2 linked regions of the Rattus norvegicus genome follow. The protein of the gene in region 1 purifies or fractionates together with the protein of each later gene. This does not show direct contact. Links are inferred from orthologs where the notes say so. Each region holds a gene or a part of one and is shown in the gene's direction. Other genes may lie near its edges. The genes, in order: Ago4 and Tnrc6a.

The links.
Region 2: the proteins of Ago4 (region 1) and Tnrc6a purify together in Homo sapiens (co-immunoprecipitation; 4 studies listed by BioGRID and IntAct, with this or other methods). This does not show direct contact. The link is inferred for Rattus norvegicus from reciprocal best matches to the Homo sapiens genes AGO4 and TNRC6A.

What each region holds. Positions count from the first base shown.
Region 1 is NC_086023.1:144,085,850-144,096,552, reverse strand, and holds part of Ago4 (protein argonaute-4), read left to right. Parts: intron 1-2,544; coding exon 2,545-2,726; intron 2,727-2,890; coding exon 2,891-3,027; intron 3,028-3,124; coding exon 3,125-3,259; intron 3,260-4,145; coding exon 4,146-4,233; intron 4,234-8,359; coding exon 8,360-8,507; intron 8,508-8,988; coding exon 8,989-9,108; intron 9,109-9,248; coding exon 9,249-9,377; intron 9,378-9,566; coding exon 9,567-9,700; intron 9,701-10,703.
Region 2 is NC_086019.1:187,118,749-187,129,451, forward strand, and holds part of Tnrc6a (trinucleotide repeat-containing gene 6A protein), read left to right. Parts: intron 1-2,715; coding exon 2,716-5,301; intron 5,302-6,552; coding exon 6,553-6,729; intron 6,730-7,474; coding exon 7,475-7,650; intron 7,651-8,741; coding exon 8,742-8,774; intron 8,775-10,098; coding exon 10,099-10,179; intron 10,180-10,703.

The sequences.
Region 1 (10,703 bases):
ATGTTTTAATTACATTTATGCAAATGAACGTGCGTGAATGTGTACACCTGTACATCAGAAGAGGGCATCGCATTTTCTGGAGCTGCAGTTACAGTGGATTGTAAGCCTTTTAAAAGTAGGGATGCTGGGGCTGGAGAGATGGCTCAGTGGTTAAGAGCACTGGCAGCTCTTCCAAAGGTCCTGAGTTCAAATCCCAGCAACCATATGGTGGCTCATAACCATCTGTAATGAGATCTGATGCCCTCTTCTGGTGTGTCTGAAGACAGCTACAGTATACTTATAAATAAATAAATCTTAAAAAAAAAAGTTTAAAAAAAAAAAAAGTAGGGATGCTGAAGTGACTTGGTGGGTATAGTGTAATCCAAGCCAGAAAATTTGGATTCAGTCCCTGGGAACCCATGTGGTAGGAGGAGAACTGACTTCCACAGGTTGTCCTCTGATGTCCACATGTGTGCCATACCACATACTCACCTACAAACATGAACATGTACATACACGTAAAGGAATGGATAAATAACTATGTAGTGAACATTTGCAGAAGGCACTGAAGAGATGGCTCAGCCATTAAGAGCACTTGCTGCCATTTCCAAGGACTGAGGTTGGCTCCCAGGACTGAGGTTGACTCCCAGGACTGAGGTTGGCTCCCAGGACTGAGGTTGACTCCCAGGACTGAGGTTGGCTCCCAGGACTGAGGTTGACTCCCAGGACTGAGGTTGGCTCCCAGGACTGAGGTTGACTCCCAGGACTGAGGTTGGCTCCCAGGACTGAGGTTGGCTCCCAGGACTGAGGTTGACTCCCAGGACTGAGGTTGACTCTCAGGGCTGACACTGGGCGGCATAGCTGCCCGTAACTTCAACTCCAGGAAGTCCATCTCTCCCGGCTTCCATCGGAGCCTGCACTCATACACAAAAGTAGATAAGAAAGAAAATATTTTAAAAGTACTTTTAAATTTAAAAATGTAGCGTTGGAGAGATGGCTAAGTGGTTAAGAATCATTGTTCTTCCCAAGGATCCAGATTCAATTCCCAGCAACCACATGGTGGCTCACAGCCATCTGTAACGGGATCCGATGCCCTCTTCTGGTGTGCCTGAAGACAGTGACCATATACTCACATACATAAATAAATCTTTACAAAATTTATGACTACTATGTGAATATATGTTCCTTTTAAACTTATTAGGCAATTCACAAAAGCTATGACTTCTTGACTTTCCTACATGCCAGTTCCATTCTCCTTGTAAAGGAGCATCCCACATTAGTTCATTACTTGTCATTAGATATTTCACGTTATCTTTTTGCATGTATGCTTATGCTTATTTGTTGTATGTATTTGTTGATTTTTTCACTAAACAGTATGTCTAGGTGTTGTTTCCATTCATATACAATTTGATACCCCTTAACTATATTTTCTAATCCAAGACAATTTTTGGGGGGATATGTCTCAGTTTGGCCTTAAATTCATGGTCCTCCTGCATCAACCTCCTGATTGCTGGGATTGTAGGCACGAGCAGCCACTCTGTTGTTGGGTTGGTTTTATTTATTTATTTATCTTTTTTTTTTTTTTTGGTTCTTTTTTTTCGGAGCTGGGGACCGAACCCAGGACCTTGCGCTTCCTAGGCAAGCCCTCTACCACTGAGCTAAATCCCCAACCCCTATTTATTTATCTTGATGTTTATTTTGATCTCACATCTTTTTAAAAAGAATTATTTATTTATTTGATTATGTGAGCACACTGTAGCTGTCTTCAGAAACACCAGAAGAGTATTCACATAGTGTACTTGCAACCACCATCTACTCTAGAATTTTTCTGTTATTTTAAACAGAAATTCTCTACCCACTAAGCAATAGTTCTCATACCTCCCTGCCACCTGCTCTGGAACCCACTATTCTACCTTCCGTTTCTGTGAATTTGTCCATTCTGAGTACCTCATTAAGTAGTTCTTATATTTGTCTTTCCATGTCAGGTTTATTTCACTTAGGACAATAATAAAGTTCATATGCAATATATTGTCTTCCTTATTTATTTATTTTTAAATTTTTACTTATTTACTTTTGCATATGTATGTATTATGTATGTATGTGTGTATGTATGTATTATGTCTGTATGTATTATGTATGTATGTATGTGTGATGTATGTATGTGTATATGTATGTATATATGTGTGTATGTATGTCTGTATGTATGCATGTGTGCATGTGTGTATGATGGGTTCATGCCTGCTGTGGCGTACATATGGAAGTTAGAGGATAACTTATGTGAGTTGGTTCTTTCCTTCTACCATGAGGTGCTCAGGACTAAACTCAGGTCATTGGGTTGGGTAGTAATATCATTTACCTACTATGTCATTTCTCTGGCCCCTTATCTTTAATTATTGTATAATATTTTCTATTAAATTAGTTCTTTATTTATGGAAAATTAAATTGTTTCCCACGGTCTGCAGTTATAAAAACTGTTAAGATAAATATTCATCATGCGTATGCCATCTGGAATATTTTTGGGGTCTTTCCTACAACTATTGTAAACCTGTATGTATTTTCCACTAGGTTGATATGGAGGTGACCCTCCCAGGTGAGGGCAAGGACCAAACGTTCAAAGTGTCAGTGCAATGGGTGTCAGTTGTGAGCCTTCAGCTGCTTTTAGAAGCTTTAGCTGGACACCTGAGTGAAGTCCCAGATGACTCAGTACAAGCCCTTGACGTGATTACAAGGCATCTCCCCTCTATGAGGTCAGTACCTTACTTTGGATCCCTCCCCACAAATGTCAGGCTTTTTGACAGAATGTTCTTACCATGCAAAGGTTCCAACATAAGGCACCATTCAAACTTGATTTCAGTTCACAAACTGACGTCAAAATGTTTTGCATGAAGTATTCAAACCTTTGTCTCTTCAGGTACACTCCAGTAGGCCGGTCTTTTTTCTCACCTCCTGAAGGTTACTACCACCCTCTGGGAGGGGGCAGAGAGGTCTGGTTCGGCTTTCACCAGTCTGTGCGCCCTGCCATGTGGAAGATGATGCTCAACATTGATGGTGGGTTGGAGCTCCATCTGCTAACTCTGGTTTTTGGTCGATTAGTTTGGGCCCTTCACTTTGCCTTGATGCTAAGTATCCTTTCTCTGCTTGTTAGTATCTGCAACTGCTTTCTACCGGGCTCAGCCCATCATTGAGTTCATGTGTGAGGTTTTAGACATCCAGAACATCAACGAGCAGACGAAACCTCTAACAGACTCCCAGCGTGTCAAGTTTACCAAAGAAATCAGGGGTAGGTATTCCTGGTAATGTCATTGTGGCATGAGTGTAACACAGTAAGATCATCTGGGCTTGAGCCACATAGACCTGGGTTGCCTTCCTAGCCTACATAGTCCCAGCAAGTGGGACCCTGTGTTAGCCATAAAGTCAGTATACACTCAGACTTGGAAATACACACCAGAGCATACTGATACTTAAACAAACTTACTGAATGAACTAGTAAGGTCAGTTATGTAGCCAGGCATGGTATTGCATGCCTGCAGCCTCAGCAATCGTGAAACTGTGACCAGAAGATCACAAGATCGAGGCTAATCTGAGCCATGTAGAAGATCCTGTCTCAAAAAAAAAAAAAATTGGTTGAACATCTTAGATCATCCGGGACCTAATTTAGAGCTTACTTAGCTAAGACTTTTTGCCATAATATGATTAAATTGCTGCAACTTTTATTCTGTATTAAGTATTGACTTTTATGTGTATTCGGAGAAATCTCTATTATCTGCATGAGGATTCTTTCCAGAGTAACGTACTTCTGACTTTTTTTTTTTTTGACAGAGTCTCACTTTATAGCTTTGGCTATCTTAGAACTCCCTCTAAAGACCAGGCTGGCCTCTAACTTATGCAGATCCGCCTTCCTCTGCCTCCTGAGTGCTGGGATTAAAGATGTGTCCCATCATCCCATCTCCCATCGTGCCCTGCCACTCCTTGACTTTTTTTTTTCTTTTCTCGGAGCTAGGGAACCGAACCCAGGGCCTTGCGCTTACTAGGCAAGCGCTCTACCACTGAGCCTAATCCCCAACCCACTCCTTGACTTTTTAAAGGCAGCATTCAAATCTAGTTTTGTAACTATGATTTTAATTAAAATTGATATTTTAATTTTTTTTTTCCTTTTAACTCTTCAGGTCTTAAAGTTGAGGTGACTCACTGTGGACAGATGAAACGAAAATATCGAGTTTGTAATGTGACAAGACGACCAGCCAGTCATCAAACGTATGTGGATCACATGTAAAACAATTTGGGAGCCATACATGATGGTTTAGCCCTGTAATCTCAGTACTTGAGAGACTGAGGCAGGAGGATTGTTGTGAGTTTGAGTCTAGCCTGAGTCAAGAGACCCTGTCTCAAAAAAAGAAAAATCACAAAACGAATGAAAAAGACAATAAAGGAAACCAAAATTAACAGTAAAATTTGGTATCAACTTGATAACAGAGGACACTACTGAACATCATTGGGGAAGATGGGACACAGTAGTGTGGTTTTCAGCACTACAAGAGTCTTTCACTTATCAAAGCTTTAAAAAATATTTTAGGAACTTGTGATTTAGTTCACCTTTTGAACCAAGTGTACTAAACATAGATCGACTTCTGTTTGAGAATGTAATCAGGGCCTGGAGAGATGGCCAATCCATACCGTGCCTACTGTAGAGCATGAGCACATGAGTTCAGATCCCCATTACCCACATAAAGGCTAGGCGTGGTGCTGAACATCTGCCATTCTAGCGCCAGTCGGGTTGAGAAGATCCCTGAGCCGCTCATCAACCAGCCGAGCCACCGGGTGCACTTCACATTCAGGGAGAGACTGCCTCAAACAGTCAATTGGAGAGTGATACAAGACACTACGTGCTGGGCTGGAGAGATGGCTCAGCGGTTAAGAGCACCCGACTGCTCTTCCAGAGGTCATGAGTTCAATTCCCAGCAACCACATGGTGGCTCACAACCATCTGTAAAGGGATCTGATGCCCTCTTCTGGTGTATCTGAGGACAGCTACAGTGTACTTGTATATAATAAATAAATAAATCTTTAAAAAAAAAAAAAAAAAAAAAAAAGATGCTACGTGCTGACCCCTGGCCTCCATATGCACACACACATACACACACAAAAATGCACACATACCAAATACATGTACATGCAAACACAGTTAAAGCTTTTAAAAAAGGAATATAATAGTTATTGTAATCAATTACTATACTATAATCAATTACTATACTGTAATTCTGAGTACAGGCTGACCCTACCAGGGTCTAGGCATCCTACAGGCCATTATGGGAAGACAAATACTGCTTTGCATATTTGTGTAGTTGTCTCTCCCTTCCTTTATAGCTCGATGTTACTCTCAGCTATTAGTGTCTGTCTCCAGCAGTGCATTCTTTTTTTTTTCCTTCATCTTTATTAACTTGGGTATTTCTTATTTACATTTCGATTTTTTTTAAAGATTTATTTATTTATTATAGATGAGTACACTGTAGCTGTCTGCAGATTCACCAGAAGAGGGCACCAGATCTCATTACAGATGGTTGTGAGCCACCATGTGGTTGCTGGGATTTGAACTCAGGACCTCTGGAAGAGCAGTCAGTGCTCTTAACCGCTAAGCTATCTCTCCAGCCCCCTACATTTCGATTTTTATTCCCTTTCCCGGTTTCCGGGCCAACATCCCCCTAACCCCTCTCCCTCCCCTTCTCTATGGGTGTTCCCCTCCCCACCCTCCCCCCCTTACCACCCTCCCTCCAGCAATCACGTTCACTGGGGGTTCAGTCTTGGCAGGACCAAGGGATTCCCCTTCCACTGGTGCTCTTACTAGGCCATTCATTGCTACCATGGAGTCCACGGTCAGTCCATGTATAGTCTTTAGGTAGTGGTTTAGTCCCTGGAAGCTCTGGTTGGTTGGCATTGTTGTTCATATGGGGTCTCGAGCCCCTTCAAGCTCTTTCAGTCCTTTCTAAGATTCCTTCAACAGGGGTCCCGTTCTCAGTTCAGTGGTTTAATGATGGCATTCGCCTATGTATTTGCTGTATTCTGGCTGTGTCTCTCAGGTTTCTGTCAGCCTGCACTTCTTTGCTTCATCCATCTTATCTAGTTTGGTGGCTGTATATGTATGGGCCACATGTGGGGCAGGCTTTGAATGGGTGTTCCTTCTGCCTCTGTTCTAAACTTTGCCTCCCTATTCCTTCCCAAGGGTATTCTTGTTCCCCTTTTAAAGAAGGAGTGAAGCATTTGCATTTTGGTCATTCTTCTTGAGTTTCATGTGTTCTGTGCATCTAGGGTTATTCAAGCATTTGGGCTAATATCCACTTATCAATGAGTGCATACCATGTGTGTTTTTCTGTGATTGGGTTATCTCATTCAGGATGATATTTTCCAGTTCCATCCATTTGCCTCAGCAGTGCATTCTTTTCCTCTTACTCAATCTTGCTTTTCTAATCACACAACTTGTGGTACATTGGGTACTATGCCTAAGTGAGAATATGTGTGGAAGTGCACGTACACTTACTGCATATGGTAGATTCATTCTTGTCATCAGGATCACTAACCTTTTGTCTGACAAGAGAAAAAGATTGGTTCTTGGCTCTCCTAAATGAGTAGTGTTAAATTATATTAATTATATACTATTTTGCTTATGCAGAATTTCTTTTCTTGTCAGTATACTTTGTGTCAATGGTATTCCCCCCCCCCCCGTGTGTGTGTGTGTGTGTGTGTGTGTGTGTGTGTGTGTGTGTGTGTTTGTGTGTGTGTGTGTTCACATGGGCATCCATATGCCATAGCATCCATGTGGAGGAAAGAGGATAACTTTTAGGAGTTGGTATTCTTTCTAGTATATGATCCAGGGATTGAACTCAGGATATAGGGCTTGCAAAGTGAGGGTTTTTTTTTTTTTTTTCATACCTCCTAATCTATCTCCCTAAACTGTGTATTTAGTCTTGTTGCCTCCATACTACATAATTTGCCCTGGCTAGAAATCTCAAATCTTGGAGATCTAAAAAATGTGGCCTCAATAACTATAGTCATTCACTTAGAAAAAGTTCATCTTGAGCAAATAAAATTATGTGGATGACTCCAAGTATATATCTCAGTAGCCAGCAGGGTAAAGAGGCCCCATGATTAGAAGAACTTGTTATTCTTGCAGAAAATCTGGGTACATTTCCTAGCACCCACATGGCAGCTCACAGCTGTCCATAACTAAAGTTCCAAGGGATCAGTGGCCCTCTACTAACCTCTGAGGCAGGTGGCGTGTACATGGTGGGCAGAAATACATCCAGTCTAGCCTCAAACATGAAGAGGTTCTCCTGCCTCATTCTCTGGAGTACTAGGGTTTCAGGTATGAGCCCCCCAGACCTAGATCTTCTTTTGTGTGGGGAAAAAAATAAATTTTGAATTAAAATTTTTTTTTTTTTAGATTTATTCATTTATTATATATAAGTACACTGTAGCTGTCTTCAGATACACCAGAAGAGGGCATCAGATCTCTTTACAGATGGTTGTGAGCCACCATGTGGTTGCTGGGAATTGAACTCATGACCTCTGGAAGAGCAGTCGGGTGCTCTTAACCGTTGAGCCATCTCTCCAGCCCTAAAATTTTTTTTAGCTTCAACAAAAATTGAAATTTCAGTGAAAATTTTCTGGTACAATACTAAAATGACTTCACTGAAAGTACTCAGCCTTTTTTTTTTTTTTTTTTTTTTTTTTTTTTTTTTTTGGTGGTGGTGCTGGGGATTGAACAAAAGGCTTTATGCATTCTGCACAGTCACTGTTTATTTGTTTGTATGCACCCCCACACACACATACACATGTACGGAACAGCTCATGGGAGTTGGCTCTGTCCTTCCATTGCATGGGTCCCAGGGATTGAACTCAGGTTGTCAGCCTCGGTAGCAAGCATCTTCACCTAATGAGCTATCTTGCTGCCTCCCCAAACCCCTTTTTGAGAGTCTTATGTAGTCCAGGATGGCCTAAAACTTACTATGTAAGTGAGGATGACATTGAACTCCTGATTCTCTGCCTACATCTCCTAAGGGCTGGACCTACAGGCATGTACCACTGTTTATTTCAGTGGCCTATGGAGTGCTGGGGACCAAACACAGGGCTCTGCACACGTTAAACAAGCTTTCTCCCCACTGAGCCACATCCTCAGCCCCTGGCCTTTGTTTCTTAAGTGACTAATCAACATAGAAAATGTTAGTAGCTGGTAGAGAGCTTACCTAGGAAGCGCAAGGCCCTGGGTTCGGTCCCCAGCTCCAAAAAAAAAAAAAAAAAAAAAAAAAAAAAGAAAAAAGAAAATGTTAGTAGGTTTTGTTTACTTGTTAAAGAAGTAAAAGTTTTAAATAGACTTTCTTTCCTTTAGCTTCCCTTTGCAGCTAGAAAATGGTCAAGCTATGGAATGTACAGTAGCTCAGTATTTTAAGCAAAAATATAATCTGCAGCTGAAATACTCCCATCTTCCCTGCCTTCAAGTGGGACAAGAGCAAAAGCATACATACCTGCCACTTGAGGTAAGCCGAATGACATTTTCTTTTGCTAATCTCTTGAATTAATTTTTCTTGTGTTCAGACTGGGTGGGTCTTGCTGCATGCCTTTAATCCCAGCACTCGGGAGGCAGAAACAGCAGGATCTCTGTGAGTTAGAGTCTAGCCTGGTCTATAAAGTGAATTCCAGGATAGCTAGGGCTACACCGAGAAAACCTGTCTTTAAAAAAAACCAAAGTAGGGGTTGGGGATTTAGCTCAGTGGTAGAGTGCTTGCCTAGGAAGCGCAAGGCCCTGGGTTCGGTCCCCAGCTCCAAAAAAAAAAAAAAAGAACCAAAAAAAAAAAAAAAAAAACCAAAATAGTATAAACTTGTGGCAGAATTTAGTCCTTTTGAAGTATCTTGTGCACATAAATTTATTATGTAACTATTTTTTCCTAGAACTAGACAAGGACTTCATGTATAGAACCCCATTTCTACAACACCTAGCTTCTCTTTGTTTCTTCGCAGGTCTGTAATATAGTAGCAGGGCAGAGATGTATAAAGAAGCTCACAGACAACCAGACATCCACCATGATCAAAGCCACAGCGAGATCTGCTCCTGACAGACAGGAGGAAATCAGTAGACTGGTCAGTAAGGCGTAGTCTTCAAGATTAGCCAGCTGTGAGCTCAAAACAAAACAAAAAGGCCCCCCAAAACAGAATAAACAGCTCCGGAGGGGACACAGTTCCTGTTTGCTCTTATGTATGCAGGCTTTTCTGTTCCTTAGGTGAAGAGCAACAGCGTGCTGGGTGGACCTGACCCATACCTGAAGGAATTTGGGATCGTTGTGCACAATGAGATGACGGAACTCATGGGCAGGGTGCTTCCGGCGCCAATGCTGCAGTATGGAGGCCGGGTAAGCTGCTTCCGTACCAATCAAAAAAGCTGCACCTTTGAATTTGCCTGTAGTCGTGCTCACTACTGCTTCTGACTTCTCACTGTACCACATAAAGTTTTGTTTGTTCCCCCTTCAACATAAAAATGGTCTTAGATTGTAATATCTTTTCTCTTTCTTTTGTTTCTTTTTTGTTTTTTGTTTTTAAAGAATAAAACAGTAGCCACACCCAACCAGGGTGTCTGGGACATGCGAGGAAAGCAGTTTTATGCTGGCATTGAAATTAAAGTATGGGCAGTGGCTTGTTTTGCGCCTCAGAAACAATGTAGGGAAGATTTGCTAAAGTGAGTATCCTGTTTTCAGCTCAGTAATACCCCTTCTAGATACGAAATATCATCTTTCTGTGTCTGTGCTGGGTACACCGGCACTGACCCCCTGATGCCCACAGTGATGCCATCTGGCTCCACAGAAAAGACCCTGCGCTATATCGTAAACTAAGAACTCTTTGGGAGTCTGACTCAGCTTCTGCATATTTCAAGTAGAAACTCGTGAAGTAATTCATCAGAAGCTGTGAGGCAGACAGAGCAGGAACAGTGCTATTTGGAACACTCTCCAGCGCTTAGGAGGTGTCCATAGCCATTGCACCTTTTCTAGTAAACATGAAAACCAGCTCAGTCTTGGCAGTTATAACTCGCTAGGTGAGCTTGTTTTGCTGCAGGAAAACTGCCTCAGTTGTGTCACCTCGTACAGATACTTCTCCTGTGTAAGGAAGGCCACGAGAAGGGTAAAGAAAACCAAGAAACAGAACTGGGGTAAAACAAAGGAACCCTACAAGACATTGGCCAATAGTCAGTGTCTATTACTTTATACTAAGTCTGATGGTTCACACCTTTAATCCCAGCACTAGGGAGGCAGAGGCAGATGGGACTCCAAGTTCAAGGCCAACCTGGTCTACATAACAAATTTCAGGCCAGCTAAGGCTAAATTGTGAGAACCTGGCTTGTGCGTAGATTCAAGTAATTTCTTAAATCCAAAATTTAAACTTCAAAATGAAAAAAAATTTGCTTCTAATTCTAAACATACTTGAATATGAAAGCATGTTTACATATTCTGAGTTGAACACAAGCTCACCTATTCAGCGTTACCAGTCTTATCAAAGTATGTGTTACCTGAAACTGGGACTTTTTTTTTTTAAGCTCTAAATTGCTGATTTGATTATTTTTTTAAAAAAATATTTTAAATATAAATGCTATTCTAGTCCTAAAGTTCAGCTGAACCATAATTTTTTCAGAAAGAGGTTTGACGGTATAGCTCAGTGGTAGAATGCTTGCTTAGCATACTTAAGGC
Region 2 (10,703 bases), on another chromosome or scaffold:
TTGTTGTTTGTTTTGTTTTGAGACAGGCTCTCTCTGCATAGCCTTGTCTGTTCTGGAACTCAGCCTATAGACCAGGCTGGTCTAGAACCCACAGACATCTGCCTGCTTCTGCCTCCCAAGTATTGGGATTAAAGGCATGCTCCATAATGCCTGACCTTTCGTGGAATTCTTACCTGCTGACAGCAGTTACTAAATGCTTTTCTTAGGTAGTTGATGGTTAGTTGAACAACTAAGTTTATTTAAAGGTTATCCCCATCCTCCTTTTGCTGAATATGATAGCACATGGCTGTAATCATAATCTCAACATTCCTGTGACTAATGCTGAAAGATTGTTCACAAATTCAAGACCAGCCTGGGCTACACAGAGGGACGCCATCTCAGAAATCAAAAGGCCAGGGATAAAGCGCAGTGTTAAAATACTTGCCAGGCATGTAAAGGGTTCAGTCGCTAGCACCTCTGACCCCCAGATGAAAATAACATGACCTCATCACACAGGTTCTTGTCTTCCAGCATCTATGAAGGACCCAAGCTTGAGGCCTGTTGTTGCTAGTGTGTCAGTCCTTTTTTTCTTTTCTTCCCCCCCCCCTTTTTTTTAAAGCTACTTTGTTGTATGGAGGACTGTGATTACCTTGTGTATCTTGTGTGTTCTGTTGCTGTGATGAAACACTGACCAGAATGTAGCTTTGGAAGGAAAGGGTTTAATTTTTGATTGACTTACAGTTCCACATCACTGTTTATCATCAATGGAAATCAGTGTGGGAACTCAAATAGGGCAGGAAACCTGGAAGCAGGAGCTTATGCAGAGTCCACGGAGGGGTGTTGCTTACCCAGTCTTCTTTCTTACAGAACCCAGGACCACTTGCCCAGGGATGGCACCACCCACAGTGGGCCTGGGACTCCCCCATCAATCATTAATCCAGAAAATACCCACAGGCTGATTGGTTTTTGGTTTTCTTTGGTCTTTGGTTTGATTTTAGTTTTGCTTTTTTGAAACAGGGTCTCTCTGTGTAGTACTTGCTATCCTGGAACTTGTTCTATAAGCCAAACTGACCTCAAACTCAGAGATCTGTTTGTGCTTCCCCATGTACCACCAGGTGTAGCTTGGAGACAGTTTCTTAATTGAGGTTCCCTCCTCTTATGATTTTTTAGCTTGTTTGATGTTAACTTAAAACTGTCCAGCACATCTTGCCTCTCTCACTCAGTTTCTGCAAGTTTAACTTTTGTCCCTTGGTTTCTTACATACAAAGTGAGAGCAATACTTGTACTCTACAATTGTTCTAGGCACTTGGTGCAGGGGTTTGCAGACCTGCTCCTGTATATCAGTGAGTGCTGGCCATGGGTTGATACTGCCCCTTTGGGTTGCAGTATAGAATAGTTCTTCCAGGAAGACTGACTTTTTGGTTCTTTAATCATATGGATTCTACATGAGCAATAGAGAAGACAAATATCATTGACTACTTTTGGGGGGAAATGGATGTACAGGGTTCTATCAATTAGTTCTTGCCTGCCTCTGAGTCACAGATCTGCCTCCTGAAGGCTTAGATTAACGGTATAGCCATCACCAGGTACCCACACTGTGATGCAGTAACTGTACAGGGAACAGTAGTTGGTGCACTTGGCAGCACTTACTTAAATTATGTTCACTGGGTATTATTACAGGTTGCTCTCTAGTTGCTCTTCTTGCCCTTCTTACCGCTCTTCATTATTCATTTCTTAGCATTTGTACTTTGAGAGAAAGTGGTACAAGCAGCATCATTTTTCTGTACTAGCAAATCACACTAATAGTGTGACTTTGATTTATTTCTAGACCTTCATCCTGGGAACTATAGTGTAAGCTACCCTTCAAGATAGCCTAAGTGTAGATGTTTTATGAAGTTAATGTCACAGATAAATTTCTATCCACTAGACCCTTAAATGAGATAAACTGAGAAACTAACAAAAATACTTAATGATGTTGTCTATGGGAAAGAATAGAAATAAATAAAGACAGATGGTAGTTAGATGGCAGTCTAATAAGACTTGGTCATATGATTGGTCCCTATGGCCTTCCGTATCAGCTGCTGTAATTTGGTGATTTTTCAACATACCAATTTTTCCCTGTTGTCTCTTACTAAGCATGGCTATGAAAGTAAATTATAAAATTGTTTAAAATTAATGTTCTTCCTTGTGTATAAGCATGGTATTTAAATGTATACACTAATAAAATAGAGATACAGTGCAAAGGCTTTGGGATTCTTACAGAATTGTTCTAACCCAAAGGAGTCGTATGAAAAGCTGTTCTGGGAAACGGAATCATTTTGGTCTGCTTACACTTACCTACTTTTCTGCATCCCAGTCCGTTTTCTCTCACATCAAGTCCTAAGCCTGGATTGTCCTAATTCATCATTACCACCCATTCTTCCTCCCTCTAGAATTCTTGTATTTGTTGGATGTTATCTGTTCATATATTTACATGTATCCCTGTGGGACTTTCTGTTCCATGCTATACTGTAGGGTATTGAGCAAAGCAGCAGAATTCTGTCTGTGAAATTACTGAACATAGAGAATTGGTGGCTGAAAGATAATTAGTGCCTCAAAGCCGTTCTGCGCGGAGCATCTTGCTAATGTTGAGGAACTACATGTATTTGTATGGATCGCCATTTTTATCAACCTACGTGATATCATTTTGGAAATTTGTTAACACTTACAAATAGATATACTTCTCCTTTATTTTAGATATAAATCATAATACTTCAGGATCCCATTATGAAAATTGCCAGCGGGGACCTGTGTCTTCTACAAGTGACTGTAGCACAAGCTGTAAGAATGCTGTAAACGACTTGTTGGAAAAAGAAGCATGGCCCTCAGCCCCTGGCAGTGATCCTGAGTTGGCTTCAGAATGTATAGATGCTGATTCTGCCTCCAATTCTGAGTCAGAGAGAAACATCACTGTCATGGCTTCAGGGAACACAGGTGGTGAGAAAGATGGCCTTCGGAACAGCACTGGACTCGGTCCCCAAAGCAAATTTGTGGTTGGTAGCAGCAGCAATAATGTGGGTCATGGAAGTAGTACTGGGCCATGGGGCTTTCCCCATGGAGCCATAATAAGCACATGTCAGGTCTCTGTGGATGCTCCTGAAAGCAAACCAGAAAGTAGTAACAGTAGAATGAATGCTTGGGGCACTGTAAGTTCTTCATCAAATGGAGGGTTAAATCCAAGCACTTTGAATTCAGCTAGCAACCATGGTGCCTGGCCAGTATTAGAAAACAACGGACTTGCCCTAAAAGGGCCTGTAGGGAGTGGGAATTCTGGCATCAATATTCAGTGTAGTACCATAGGCCAGATGCCTAACAATCAGAGTATCAACTCTAAAGTCAGTGGCTCTTCTACCCATGGTACCTGGGGTAGCCTTCAGGAAACTTGTGAGCCTGAAGTAAGTGGTTCACAGAAGGTTTCATTCAGTGGTCAACCTCAGAATATCACCACTGAAACGACTGGACCAAATAACACTACTAACTTTATGACCTCTAGTTTACCAAACTCCGGTTCAGTACAAAATAATGAACTGCCTACTAGTAATCCAGGGGCCTGGCGTGTGAGCACAATGAATCATCCTCAGATACAGGCTCCGTCAGTTCTGAATGGCACTTCCCTTTCTCACCTTAGTAATGGAGAGTCAAAAACTGGAGGCTCCTACGGTACTACATGGGGTGCCTATGGTTCTAATTACTCTGGCGACAAATGTGCAGGCCCTAATGGCCAAGCCAATGGTGACACTGTGAATGCAACTCTAATGCAGCCTGGCATAAATGGGCCTATGGGCACTAACTTTCAAGTTAGTACAAATAAAGGGGGAGGTGTATGGGAGCCTGGGACAGTGAATTCCCAGAGTTCACCATGGGGAAGTGGAAATGGTGCAAATTCTGGAGGAAGTCGAAGAGGATGGGGAAGTCCTGCACAGAACACTGGCACTAGTCTGTCCAGTGTTGAGTGGAACAAACTGCCTAGCAACCAGCATTCCAATGACAGTGCAAATGGCAATGGTAGTAAGAAACTTACAAATGGATGGAAATCTACTGAGGAAGATGATCAGGGTTCTGGCACATCTCAGACGAATGAGCAAAACAGTGTGTGGGCCAAAGCAGGAGGCACAGTGGAGAGTGATGGTAGTGCAGAGAGCACTGGACGCCTTGAAGAAAAAGTAACCGGGGAAAGCCAGAGTAGAGATAGAAGAAAAATTGATCAGCACACATTACTCCAAAGCATTGTAAACAGAACTGACTTAGATCCACGTGTCCTATCCAATTCTGGGTGGGGACAGACTCCTATTAAGCAGAATACTGCCTGGGATACAGAGACATCACCAAGAGGGGAAAGAAAGACTGACAATGGGACAGAGGCCTGGGGAAGCTCTGCAACACAGACTTTTAACTCAGGGGCATGTACAGATAAGACTAGCCCTAATAGTAATGATACCTCATCTGTATCAGGGTGGGGTGATCCCAAACCTACTCTGAGGTGGGGAGATTCCAAAGGCTCAAACTGCCAGGGGGGGTGGGAAGATGATTCTGCTGCTACAGGAATGATCAAGAGCAATCAGTGGGGGCATTGCAAAGAAGACAAGTCTGCATGGAATGATTCGCAAAAGAACAAACAAGGCTGGGGCGATGGACAAAAGTCAAGCCAAGGTTGGTCCGTTTCTGCCAGTGATAACTGGGGAGAATCTTCCAGGAGTAACCATTGGGGTGAGGCTAATAAGAAATCCAGCTCAGGAGGCAGTGACAGCGACAGGTCCATTTCTGGTTGGAACGAACTTGGTAAAACTAGTTCTTTTACTTGGGGAAATAATATAAATCCAAATAACTCATCAGGATGGGATGAATCTTCTAAACCTAACTCTTCCCAGGGATGGGGAGACCCTCCAAAGTGTAATCAGTCCCTAGGTTGGGGAGATTCATCAAAACCAGTTAGTTCTCCAGATTGGAACAAGCAACAAGACATTGTTGGATCGTGGGGAATCCCACCAGCCACCAGCAAGCCTCCTGGTACAGGCTGGCTTGGGGGACCTATTCCTGCTCCAGCAAAGGAGGAAGAACCCACAGGCTGGGAGGAACCATCCCCAGAGTCTATACGACGAAAAATGGAGATCGATGATGGAACTTCAGCTTGGGGAGATCCAAGCAAATACAACTACAAAAATGTGAACATGTGGAATAAAAACATCCCAGAAGGCAGCAGCCGCTCAGACCAGCAAGCACAGATGCACCGGTTGTTGCCGGCTGCAAGTGCCATCTCAAGCAAGGAGACCAGCAGTGGCTCTGGTAAGCGTTCCTATGTGGAGTGCAGTGGTATTGTGGAAGCAAGCTTTGTGTTGACATGCAGTCATAAGATTTGTGTATCACAGTTCTTGAGCGTGCACATCAAGGCCTTTCAGCTGTGACCTAGAGGTGAAGTCTACCAGGCAACAGCTCTGTCTTGGGAGTGTTGCCCTATTCTGTTAGGAATGTAGTAGAAGGGACTGAGTGGCAGAGTTACGTACTTATTTAGGTATTCTTAACCAAGCCTTAATAATGTGGTTTCACTATTGAAGTACAATAAAGCCAAGTGCCTGAGTACAGTACTCTGGATATTTGATATTATGTTTGACCTTAGTGGGTTTCCTAAATGAGGCATGAAGTCAGCATCTACTCAGATAACTGGATACAGTGTGTGCATCTGAAGCATTGCACTGCTTTCTAGTATGCTCGACCTTTCCTCTCCTGTACTGAGCAAAGTCTTTTCTCTGTAAATTGATAGGGCAACATTTTGTAAATGTGACAGGCCCACAATGCCTTTGTTAATGGGGAGGTTTTTTGTTTTTGTTTTTTTTTTTTTGGTTCTTTTTTTCGGAGCTGGGGACCGAACCCAGGGCCTTGCGCTTCCTAGGCAAGCGCTCTACCACTGAGCTAAATCCCCAACCCCGTTAATGGGAGTTTTATTGAGTAACGCTGCATTGGTTAGAGAGCTGGTAATGTTTTCAGGAATTCTTCTTTTAGTGCCTAATTTTGTGGGGTTTTTGTTTTGTTTTGAAATACAAGCCTATTCTATTGATTTATGTTTAACTCTTAGGGAAAGTGTAGACCTCTTTTCCCGTGTGTATAAGGTAGGCTGGCTGTTTACTTGATGGTAGTCATAGTCAGTTGTTGTCCACTACAGTGCTATGGGAAGAGTGTCCTTTCAGTAAAATGTAATTAGTGTAACTTTACACTGCACCTGCCTCAGGTCTCAAGCTTTGGTTCAGAAGAACCTGACGTTTTTAGGAAGATGATTTGCTATATTAAATTATTCAAAAGAGTCTCCTCTTACACCAGATGGCAGTTTTGAAAGAAAAGGTTAAAACGTTATACAGTTATATTAATGCAGAATAATTTGTGTTCTTCACAAAATATGCCTCTTGCTTGTCACAGCATCATTTTTCAGTTGTGTGATGTGAAATTCTTCATCTCGCTTCCCAAGTCCTCTTCCTTGTGTCCTTTATTTAAGGTGTTTCCTAATGTCTATGCTGATGACTTTTTTTCCCATGCTTTCTAAAGGCTGGGGTGAGCCTTGGGCAGAGCCTTCTACTCCAGCCACGACTGTGGATAATGGTACTTCAGCCTGGGGCAAGCCCATAGACAGTGGTCCCAGCTGGGGAGAACCCATTACTGCAGCATCCAGTGCATCCACGTGGGGCTCCAACTCTGTTGGTCCACAATCATTAAGCAAATCTGGTAAGTCATCTGTGATTGTTAGCAGCCATTTTGTAGTGCTGATGATAAACTCATGAACTACATTTAAAAAATGGGCTAGTGCTTCTAAATTGTCACTACTGATGTATTTCTCAAAAGTAACTAAGAATAATTTACATATCCTCCACTAAATCTAAATTCTTTTGTTTGATTATTTAAAACTGAATGTAGCAGCTTTTATGCCATTCAGCTTGAGAGACTAGATAATATAATGTGAGACACGTGTCCAAACCATCAAATCTTAGAAGGGAAGGACCCTGAAATGTACATGAATATTGTTCCTCTACCATGTTGGGCTCAGGACACATTATGGGAGCCCCAAGGCCTGTGTGTGTAGAGATAGATGTTTGTTCTACTGTGGCTTCAGTACCCTTTGAACAGCCTTGTAGAGAATAATAGTATAGACAATTGTCTTTTCCACCTCATTCACCCTCTGTTCTTTGTATCATTTTAAAAAACCAAGTAGGTATGCATAAGAAACCACTATTGCTCATGATTAGAAATCCTAAGATTTATGAAGACATGGAAAGTTTCATTGGATGTTTAAATAAGTTCTTTCCAGTGTCTTTGAATATAGTCAAAAAGCACCTTTTCTGTTACATGCATTTGAGAAGTAAAGATGTGTATGGTTTAGCTCCTATGTCTCTGTACTTTGAAACATGCCTGACTCTTGGAGAATTTTTTTCATAAATTCTGTTCGCCTTTGTATCATAAATCTACAAATCAGGACCCAAATCTATGCAAGATGGCTGGTGTGGTGAGGACACGCCATTGCCTGGAAGTCGCCCCACTGGCTGGGAAGAGGAGGAGGATGTAGAGATTGGGATGTGGAACAGTAGCTCATCTCAAGAGCTTAACTCATCCTTAAACTGGCCACCATATACCAAGAAAATGTCATCCAAGGTAAACATTTCAAGAGCTTTGCTCTTGCAACTTCAAATCTCCAAGGTAGTTTACCCACAGAAAATTAATCTATCTGCCCGTTTATGGCAGTCAGTACAGTCCAGGCAGCCCCCAATTTAGGTATAGCCTCTTGAATGGGCAGCTACCTAGAAAAACAGACCATGGGAACTTCCTTTCTCCCCACTGCTACAGCTCAGGATTTCTCTACTCCTCAGCTCCACCAGTACTGCCTGGGGCAACAAGCCCCACGTGGTGCCAGCAGTGGTGAGGATGAAGAGAAGGGCAAATCCATGTTGACTTTCCATTTCACTGCCAGTCCATCTCCATCATCCATTAACCTCCTCACCCAGAGTCACCATTCTGTTTATTCACTAACCATCATTGTCCCTTTCTCATCCCCAAGGTCCTGTGATGAAAATCCCTAGGAAGGGTTTCCATACCCGGCTTTACATGAGAAATGGGTTGCACTTGTTAAAAACATAGTCTGCTATACCCTAAGGTCTTCTCAAGTTTTGGAAATTGCAGCAGCTCAACGAATATGTCTGATGTTGAGCCAGGTTCAGGAACCACTGGGTCCTGGGAAGTAGTAATATTTGGGCCTGGGGGCTGGAGGTAGATTCTCCTGGGGACATCTTTCTTTTAAAATAGGTGCCCAGTCTCACAAGCAACTTCAAACTGTCCTCATCACCCTATTTGAGAATGATTACCTTTTGAGGCCCTTGAAAAGTCATATATTTGGTGGGTACTTGGCCTAACTCAAAGCCAAGGTTGGTCCGTTTTAATCCTGGGATTCAAAGTCTAGGACCTGCCATTTTCATTTTATAATTTCTTCCATTTGGCTGGATTTGCCTATTGATGCCTGGCCATGTAGCTTATGACATGCTTGTACATGTTTTACATGAATCATTTGATCCTCATAACCTTCTGAGATACGCTACTGAGGAGGAAGTTGAGACTGGAGAAGGTGGTGACTGGCCCAAAGTTGCATAAGTAGTAAGTGATACAGCAAGGACTCAGCTTAGATCTTGCGATTCAACACCTTGTTCTTCCCACTGGACCATGCTGTTTTGTGACTTTGTCTTTCCTTACAGGGTCTGAGTGGCAAAAAAAGGAGAAGGGAAAGGGTGTGTAGCCTTTTTACTCTTTCTCCTTTGTTTCTACTAGTAAAAATCTTTAGAGAGCAACTGCAAACTCTTATTTAGCTTCTGCTGTGTGCCAGGTACTGTGCTTGGTGCTGGGGTTCAATACACTGAAGAGCAGCCCCTTCAGGGCGTCTATTCTCTGGTGGGGCATCAGGCAAGCACACATGTGCTGGGATGTAGAAGATGCCTGGGGTGGCCTGATAGAACTGAAAGATTTCTAAAAATGACAGAGAAAGCTGGCTCTGTAATTAGAGGAAAGATAAATAGGAACTTTATTATTGGCGAAGTAAGGAGCCAGTGAAATTGATAAGAAGGCAATTTACCATGGCTTAAAGAAAAAAACTTTTTATTCAAAGAATGCTGACTAATGTTGGTGTGAAATACCAGTTGCAGTAGAGAAAAACCAGAGGTAGGGATCTCAAGAGGCTGCTACATCATCCCAGGTGGAAAGGAAGAACAGTTAGAAATACATTTAAGAATAGAAGGGGCAGGGACTGACAGCTGTTCAGACCATGGGAGGAAGTGGAAAGGGGAAACAGGGAAAAGAGGCGCCTTCAGCATCTTTGGAGAAGGTTAGGTGCTTGCTTTAGAGACGATCTGCCTTTGTGGGGAGTTAAGCTGTGCTCTTTCACAGTCAGAAGGAACAGGTAACAGCATTGGGAAAGGACATTAATACACTGAGATGGTCCTGTGGTCATCATGTCAGTGTGAGGCCTAGGTCTCTGTGGCTCCCAGCCTCTCTCTGTGACTGCTGCCAGTTCTCAGTTGTAATATCTGTACTGCTCAACCTACCACAGCAGCCCAACTGCTGCTCAGGATATCATGTTCTTAACAACAAAAGGAAAGCATTAAAGACACTATTGTGTGGAAACATTTTAGTAAAGTGTTCCTTCATGATTAAATTATGGATTAAATTAGTTTGTTAGGACTAAGCTGAGAATCTAATTTTTACTTTGGTATGAGAGTTCCAAAACCCCAAATGATGATACATGTCAAGGAGCACAGTCCATCTATGAGGCGGGAATGTCCCACGGTCCTCCATTGCTTTTGTCTTTTCCTTCTGACTGCCTGCCTTTAGAGATCTCTCTGTACATTACAGCTATACCAGAGGCCTGGAGCAAAGGAAGTTGAAAATCAAATGAGTTTATTTATTTAATTGTTAACACCTCTGATAAGAGTTGATTGAAGGAGAAAATATTGGCTAAAAATGAGAGTTGGGAATTGTCTTAAAGTTTTACTAGTCCATCATGATGTCTAGATAATTAGAGATGGCCATGGCATCTTCTCTACTCTTTTATTTACAAAGGGAATGATGAAAGGCGGAAACAAACAAGAGGACGCGTGGATAAACCCATTCGTTAAGCAGTTTTCAAATATCAGTTTTTCAGTAAGTATATTTTCTTAGCAGCCAATAATTCCCTTTTTAGTAGTGACTCATAATATATCCTAGTTTTGTTTTATTTTATTAAAAACTATTTCTTGGGCTGAAGAGATGGCTCAGTGGTTAAGAGCATTAACTGCTCTTCCAGAGCTCCTGAGTTCAATTCCCAGCAACCACATGGTGGCTCACAACCATCCGTAATGAGATCTGATGCCCTCTTCTGGTGTGTCTGAATAGTGTATGACAGTGTACTTACATAAAACAAATAATACATCTTAAAAAATTTTCTCATCTTTAAGTCTTTAAAATATGAATCAATTAGAGTAAAATTAGCCAATAAGACTTAATTCTTAAATTTTATAAATTTTGAGCAACATCTTAAGACTACATTAAAATATAATATATTTTAAAAACTAGGACTAGAGAGTCAGTTTCATGGTTGAGAAGACTCGCTCCTCTTCAAAGGAGCAGGGTCTGTCCCCAGTACTTGTGGAGGGGATTCACGTCCGCGTTTACTCTAGCTCCAGGGT